Linked DNA regions of Rattus norvegicus. The protein of the gene in region 1 binds, or shares a complex with, the protein of each later gene. Links are inferred from orthologs where the notes say so. Each region holds a gene or a part of one and is shown in the gene's direction. Other genes may lie near its edges. The genes, in order: Klb and Fgf19.

The links.
Region 2: the proteins of Klb (region 1) and Fgf19 are in contact, whole or in part, in a crystal structure (PDB 6NFJ), measured with the Homo sapiens proteins. The link is inferred for Rattus norvegicus from reciprocal best matches to the Homo sapiens genes KLB and FGF19. Residues at the interface, in NP_783864.1 of Homo sapiens: Phe379, Lys380, Val392, Leu394, Trp419, Phe420, Thr421, Asp422, Val425, Thr431, Tyr434, Met435, Asn438, Tyr643, Glu693, Arg696, His743, Asn824, Phe826, Met832, Gln848, Phe849, Leu850, Gln851, Ile853, Leu862, Phe931, Phe942; in NP_005108.1 of Homo sapiens: Leu192, Thr194, Asp195, Ser196, Met197, Pro199, Phe200, Leu202, Val203, Thr204, Ser211, Pro212, Ser213.

Annotation. Positions count from the first base shown.
Region 1 is NC_086032.1:43,256,195-43,259,541, reverse strand, and holds part of Klb (beta-klotho), read left to right. Parts: intron 1-436; coding exon 437-1,580; intron 1,581-3,347.
Region 2 is NC_086019.1:209,484,143-209,488,661, forward strand, and holds the start of Fgf19 (fibroblast growth factor 19 precursor), read left to right. Parts: upstream 1-1,670; 5' UTR 1,671-1,800; coding exon 1,801-2,053; intron 2,054-2,235; coding exon 2,236-2,339; intron 2,340-4,519. UniProt on the Homo sapiens protein: Involved in the suppression of bile acid biosynthesis through down-regulation of CYP7A1 expression, following positive regulation of the JNK and ERK1/2 cascades. Stimulates glucose uptake in adipocytes. Activity requires the presence of KLB and FGFR4.

The DNA of each region.
Region 1 (3,347 bases):
TCAGTGACTCCTTTATAACCTCACCTGTGTCATCAGCTTACGACAGGGCTTAGACTCCGTCCTTCAACTGAGGGTACCAAGCTAATTTCCTGATGCATTTGAACTGTCACATGAGATGTTATATAACCTGGATTTTTAGGTCATGTGAGCTGGAAAATGGCTTATTAGGCTTTTCTCAAACAGCTGGTCTTCCTTCCCTGTGTGCGGTTCCTTCCCGGTATTTCCTGGCCTCCCTGGAGCATTGAAGGGCTAGAAGGATAAAAAAAAAAAGTCCTTTCTCCCACATTACCAGCAGAATAAACATCCTGAATACAGACTATTATGAAGGACAAAGTTACCATTTGTCTTGTAGTGAGAGGCTCAGCTCTTCCCATCTGACAGGTCGGGATCTGCCAGGAGCTACATTTGATTTACCTGGATGCGTTTGTTTCCACAGCCGGAGTTTACGGTGTCCTCCCCACAGTTTACTGATCCTCACCTGTATGTGTGGAATGTCACTGGCAACAGATTGCTATACCGAGTGGAAGGAGTCAGGCTAAAAACAAGACCGTCCCAATGCACAGATTATGTGAGCATCAAAAAACGAGTTGAAATGTTGGCCAAAATGAAAGTCACCCACTACCAGTTTGCTCTGGACTGGACCTCTATCCTCCCTACCGGAAATCTGTCTAAAATTAATAGACAAGTGTTGAGGTACTATAGGTGTGTGGTGAGCGAAGGACTGAAGCTGGGCATCTCCCCTATGGTGACGTTGTACCACCCGACCCACTCCCATCTAGGCCTCCCCATGCCACTTCTGAGCAGTGGGGGATGGCTAAACACCAACACAGCCAAGGCCTTCCAGGACTACGCAGGCCTGTGCTTCCAGGAGCTGGGGGACTTGGTAAAGCTCTGGATCACCATCAATGAACCCAATAGGCTGAGTGACATGTACAACCGCACGAGTAACGACACCTACCGTGCGGCCCACAACCTGATGATCGCCCATGCCCAGGTCTGGCACCTCTATGATAGGCAGTATAGGCCGGTCCAGCACGGGGCTGTGTCGCTGTCCTTACATTCCGACTGGGCAGAACCTGCCAACCCCTATGTGGAGTCTCACTGGAAGGCAGCCGAGCGCTTCCTCCAGTTTGAGATCGCCTGGTTTGCGGATCCACTCTTCAAGACTGGTGACTACCCGCTGGCCATGAAGGAATACATCGCCTCCAAGAAGCAGCGAGGGCTGTCTAGCTCAGTCCTGCCGCGCTTTACCTTGAAGGAGAGCAGGCTGGTGAAGGGGACCATCGACTTTTACGCACTGAACCACTTCACTACTAGATTCGTGATACACAAGCAGTTGAATACCAACCGCTCAGTGGCAGACAGGGACGTCCAGTTCCTGCAGGACATCACCCGCCTGAGCTCGCCCAGTCGCCTAGCCGTAACGCCCTGGGGAATGCGCAAGCTCCTTGGGTGGATCCGGAGGAACTACAGAGACATGGATATCTACGTCACAGCCAATGGCATTGATGATCTTGCTCTAGAGGACGATCAGATTAGAAAGTACTACTTGGAGAAGTACGTCCAGGAGGCTCTGAAAGGTAAGCTTTGGAGCATACAGAGAGGTGAGGTGGCAGAGGAATATATACTTGACAGCAGTGAAAACCTAGGCATAAAATTCACCACCGAGGTTCAGTCTTAGCAGGACCCAGGGCTTCCCCTTCAGTGAACCAGACTATGGGGGGGGAGGGCGGCAATGGGGGGAGGGTTGGGAGGGGAACACCCATAAGGAAGGGGAGGGGGGAGGGGGATGTTTGCCCGGAAACCGGGAAAGGGAATAACACTCGAAATGTATATAAGAAATACTCAAGTTAATAAAAAAAAAAAAAAATCAAATAACCAAAAAGAAAAAAAAAAAATTCACCACCGACTCAAGACCTGAGGCCCCCGGCTCTAGTCCATTGGATTTCTTCCTTAAAATAGGCCTTTATGATTGAATTTTAAATTTTTTGTTTTGTTTGTGACCATGTCTGTGTGGTCCTGTCTTGAAACCTGCTATGTAGACCAGGGTGGCCTTGAACTCAGAGTTCTGAGTGACCCAGCCTCTCTGCCTTCTGAGTGATGGGATTAAAGGCACATGTACCATCATGTCTAGCTAAATTTTTAATTTTTACTTTCATCATTAATGTTTTTTAGACAGGGTCTAAATAGTAACCTGAGTTGACCCCTATCCTGCTTCTGCCTTCCAAGCAGTGTCATTATAAATCTAGGCCACCACATCTGGACTTTTACAACGTGCCATAATCTCAATACGTAAAGTGGCAAAGCATTTTCTCCCCTGGGAAATCTCACTTCCCAAGAAAAGTGCCATCTGTTTTGGATTATTTCCAGCGAGCTTCCTAGATATTCCTAATACAGTTGAGCTGAGGCTTATAACTCTTTTGCCTACAATTTTTTTGGGAGGGGACTTGAACCCAAGTTCCATTTGGCTGTACTAAAAAACTACATCCCCATATCCCTAATTTTTATTTTTATTTTTTTGTGGAGCTGGGAATTTAACCAAGGACCTCGTACATACTCGCCAAAACACCCTACCACTGATCACTCACCAACTTTCTCTTTGTGGTGCTGGGGTTCAAACTCAGGGCTTTATGTGTGCTAAGCAACCAACCTCAAAGCAGTCACATAACTGGTTTTCTTTGTTTCAAGACAGGGTCTCGTATATCCTAGGCTGGTCACAAACTTCTGCTCTCCTGCCTCCCCCTACACTTGCAGGCATGTGTAATCACACCTGTCTCAACCTTTTTAAAACATTGGATGTGTTCCATGTCATCAAATCAATTTATTTATTAATTATGGATGCAGCATTTGCCTGCACATATACCTGCAGGCCAGAAGAGGGCACCAGATCTCATTACAGATGGTTGCGAGCCACCATGTGGTGGCTGAGATTTGAACTCAGGACGTCTGGAAGAGCACCCAATGCTCTAACCTCTGAGCCATCTCTCCAGCCCCATTATTAAAATTCTTTCCTTTTTCTTTTTCTTTTTTTTTTTTTCCGGAGCTGGGGACCGAACCCAGGGCCTTGCGCTTGCTAGGCAAGCGCTCTACCACTGAGCTAAATCCCCAACCCCCATTATTAAAATTCTTATCCACCACCACCACCACCAAAAGAAAAACAAAAAAACAAAACAAAGAAAACCCCAAAACAACAACAACAAACTACTCTTAGGAATGTGCTGGGTGGTGGTGGAACATACCTTTAACGCCAGCACTCAGGAGGCAAAGGCAGAAGGATCTCCAGGCAAGGCCAACATGGTACAGAGTGAGTTCCAGGAAAGCCAGGGCTACAGGAGAAACCCTCTCTC
Region 2 (4,519 bases), on another chromosome or scaffold:
TCTGCTGTCACCCCGGAGCCCTGAGACAGACCATCCTGTCTTCGTCACACACAAGGCTCCATCTTCACCTCTCACGATGTCACTTTCCAGAATCCCATTTTCTACCTCGTTCAGAGGTAGACCTAAAATCCACCCTGGAAAAGAATGTTCTTATGGGGGCCCTCAGGACTCTACAGACATTTCTCTGAGCGCTCCATTATCAACATCTCCAACTCTTCTGGGAGTCCCTGAGAAGGGAGAAGAGTAGGGTTGGGGTGCTGCCATCCGCACGTCACCCTCCAGCCCAATTTGGGGGGACTCCTCAGTGAAACCTCTGCCAACCTCCCGGGTACCCCACATTTATCATGGACATTAAGACAAAAGCGGCAGGAGAAGGCAATTAAGATTAATAGTCCGTGCTGTCAATTGAGAATCACAAGGGAGAAGTAATTAGATTTTACAGGAGACATCGCTCTCTAAAACAAGCCTCACAGCATGGGAGTCCCCGGTCCTGAGAGCCTTCGGTGATGTCTTTTTGTAAAGGCTTTCCTGGTGACATTCTCCCAGAGCTCCGTCATTTATGCCAGTCACTGATGGCGTCTGAAAGTGGCGTGTTCCTCATTGAGATTCATCAGACCTGCCATTTTTCTGTTGTCCGGCCCCTGCAGACAGACCTCCCATCACCACGGAGCTAGGCCAGTACCTCTTTCCCCAAACCAGCTTGGGGGGGGGGGCACACCCAGGAGTTGGGGGATTGGAGGCATAATGAGAAAGGCTACGCGCTGAACCAAAGCCCCCTGCGAGGACCCTTTCTTCCAGGCCGGGGAATTCTCTGCAGGCTGCCTCCTTTCTTTGCAAGAGCGGCTCAAGGAGAGGCCCCCATTCTCCTCCCACCTGACCCACCGCCAGCAGCGTCCACCGTTGCTCCTAGCTGGCCCCCTCCTCACCGGTACGCAGCTGTCCCCCGCGCGCAGACTCAAGGGCCTGATCACCGACCCAAGAGGGGACGCCGCGACCTCCCCTGCCCTGCCTCTGCGCGCTGGTCAGCTCATCCTTCTCAAAGTCACAGCCCCAGTGACTCTCGCCTTGTGGAGTCCACGCGCGAGGCAAGCAGAGGACGCACAGAGAGCAGCTGGCAGCACAGTGGAGGCCGAAACTGGGGCTGAAGCGCCACCTAGTGAGCGCGACACACTCCCACTATGTCTTCACTGTGTAGGGCAAATATCCATGAATAGGGAGCCTAGGTCTGGGGCTGGAGAATGTGGGAGGATCCGATCTGCGAGAGCGTGCCAAAGAAGAGACCCAAGACTCAAAACGGGGGTGGGGGGTACGGAGGCAGAGCTCTGCGTGCCTTCTAAGTCTCTAATGACCGTCCCAAGCGCAGCCCTCTGAAAGCCCAGGGCCTTAAGACCTCAGTAATTAATCGTAACATTAAAATAGCCTATTCAATAACCATCAAGACACTGTGCATTTAACACTCCCCCCACCCCACCCCCGGCCTTGGTCACAAAGGGGGCTCCTCCACTGCTAGATCTGGCCTGCCTGGGCGGGGTCACTGGGATGGGGCTGAATGGGTGTGTGCGGGGGGCGGAGACTTGATGCAATTAGGAGGACTGCCTTGCTACTGCGGTCACCTACACCCGGGCCAGAGGGACGAAACGTATATAAGGCCGCGTGCCCGGAGCCGCAACGCCGTCGAAGCAGCAGCGCCCCGCGCTGCAAGCGCCCGATTGCTTTGTGGGCTGTGCCTGCCTTGCGAGTCCCTGCCGCGTCGCAGTCTCCGCGCCACCTTTGTAGCTGCCTTCACGACCCCGAGGTGCCATGGCGAGAAAGTGGAGTGGGCGTATTGTGGCCCGAGCTCTGGTCCTGGCCACTCTGTGGCTGGCCGTGTCTGGGCGTCCCCTGGTCCAGCAATCCCAGTCTGTGTCGGATGAAGGTCCACTCTTTCTCTATGGCTGGGGCAAGATTACCCGCCTGCAGTACCTGTACTCTGCTGGTCCCTACGTCTCCAACTGCTTCCTGCGTATCCGGAGTGACGGCTCTGTGGACTGCGAGGAGGACCAGAACGAACGAAGTGAGTATCCACCAGCGTGTCCCCTCGAGTCCCTTAGGATCTAGGAGCACGTGGATATGTCACCGTGGCTTTAACATCCTCCCACCCCTGACTTCTAGACTAAGCTGGGGAAGGACGAGGCAGTGTGACGCCGCTGTACCCACGTGTTGCTGGGCCCAGGCAACTTTTTCCTTCTCTTGCAGATCTGTTGGAGTTCCGCGCGGTTGCTCTGAAGACAATTGCCATCAAGGACGTCAGCAGCGTGCGGTACCTCTGCATGAGCGCCGACGGCAAGATATACGGGCTGGTGAGTGTTCCTCCACGCGGCGGGATGCTCCGGGCCGCGCTGGGTCCATATTTGTTTTTTTTTTTTTTCACCTCCTGTTCAGGCCCTAAAGGAACTTGAGGCAAGGTACCAATGATAGTGAGGCTAATGTTACTCTTGCCCGCCCTGCGCAAAGTGATGGCCCCAGGCGGCAGCGGGGAAATGGGGAGGTCAGTGGAGCTGTCTAATCCTCCAAAGGCTGGGCTGGCTGCTAAGTCCCATTCAGCTTTCGGTCCCTTTGATATTGAACCGGAAAACCTGCCTCTTCCGTTTTTCATCTCCAGGCTTTGCGTGTGTGGTCCTCGGTTTTCTCCTCTCCCTCAAGTTAAAAAGAAAACAAAAAACAAAACAAACAAACAACAACAAAAAAAAGGAAGGATCTTTATGTCCTAGGTACACAGTGTGATGTAAAATTTAGAAATACTTTAGAAAGTCCCCAAGATGCTCACCTGCTTGGGGCCTCGGGTAATTGGGGTGAGGCGTGCTGGCCACAATCAGGTAACCCCTGAAATCCAGAGACTTGAAGTATGTGGGCTAGTGCTTTGTAGGGACAGAGGCTGGGTGTTAAAAGAAGCCTTCAGCCCTACCTCTGGGGGTACTAGCAGAGGCTGTGTGAGGTCCCTTGGCCGAGGCCTCCCATCTAGCTCTGGGCTCCTGGGAGAAGCTGGGACCCCCTATGAGGATAGCTACAGGACTCAACCTTTTCGTCCTTCTGTTTAAGAGTCTCAAAATTGTTTGCAGCACTGAGGTTGATTTAGCTACATGAAAAGACCACAAAGAGAGGAAAGAGAGAAAGGATTCTGCAGAGAAAGGAGGAGGTCCTCTGCCTGGCTGAAAGCTGACCCAGACCCAAGCAAATCTCCTGCCAGTGTCTTCCCGTTATTTATGACAAGGGTGCTGAGCAGGGGGTCCGACCCCCATTCTGCACTAATGTAAATAGTATAGGAAGGCCCACGGGAGCTTTGACCCCCAATTCCAGTGTTGTCCTGGATCCGGTGGGCATAGTTCATCACCAACTCTCCTTTTTAAAAAATAGAAACCCCACAATCCATTGTTCCTATATTAAAAAAAGGGTAGTGGCCAGTTGTCCATATGAATTCTCCAAGAGAAATACATCCCATGTTTATCTACACAGTTTTCATGGAACATGGCCCCTGTCGTGTGGTGGCTCTGTCCTAGTGCCATCAGCCAGGGCAGGAGCAATGGGTTCTTGGAATTAGCCTGTTATCAGAGCCTTATCTGCCAACAGTCTCCACCTGCAGGTCAGTGACCTCGGCATGCATAGGCAGACACAGCCTGTGTTTTATTGAGCCATGTAGGCTCCCCAAGGGGCTGTGGCACCAGTCTAGGAGACTGCAACTGATACCTCAAGCCTAGGGACTAGGAATATTCTGGTACTGGGGATGAGGATCAGGGACAGCTTCCTACAGCACTCATTTCCGGCCACCCACAGGGTGTGGGCTTGGTCCCGGGCATGGGGGGAGGAGCTGCGGATTATCAGGCAGATCCTGGCTGGCTGCCTGTGAGGGGGCTTCTCCTCTCACAATGGTAGGAGACTCAACCACCTCAGCATTAGAAAAGCTCCCTGTGCTGCAGGTCTAGCAAGGAAGGATCACTCTATCCCTGGCCCCAGGCCAGGCTGCAGCTACTACCCAGAAAATGCAATCTAACTGGGATCAGAGTTTTGGAAAGCAGATAAATAGTGATCAGAACTTAAAGTCACTTGTTAAAGGCCAGAAGACTTGCACACTGCCAGCTTCTGCATGGATATGGCTCAGTTGGGGTGGATAATTGGTACAAACCAGGCGCGTTGGCACATACCAACCTTCTGGTAGCTGAGGCAGGAGGATCACTGAGAGGTAAAGCCCACAGAGTGATACCCTGTCTTAAACACGATGGGGCTGGGGAACTGAGTTCAGCTGGTGGAGTGGTTTGCCTAGCACGCTCAAAGCCCAGAGTTCAGTTGAGCACTACGTAAACCCAGCTCAGTGGAGCTCACTTGTCTGTCATCCCAGCACTTGGGAGGTGGAGGCAGGAGGATCAGGAGTTCAAAGTCAGCATGGTCCAGGAGGTACCTGTTTCAAAATGGAAATCCAGACCTAAAGTGGTTATAGATGCCTTTAATCCCTGCACTCAGGTGACAGAGGCAGGTGGATCTTTGA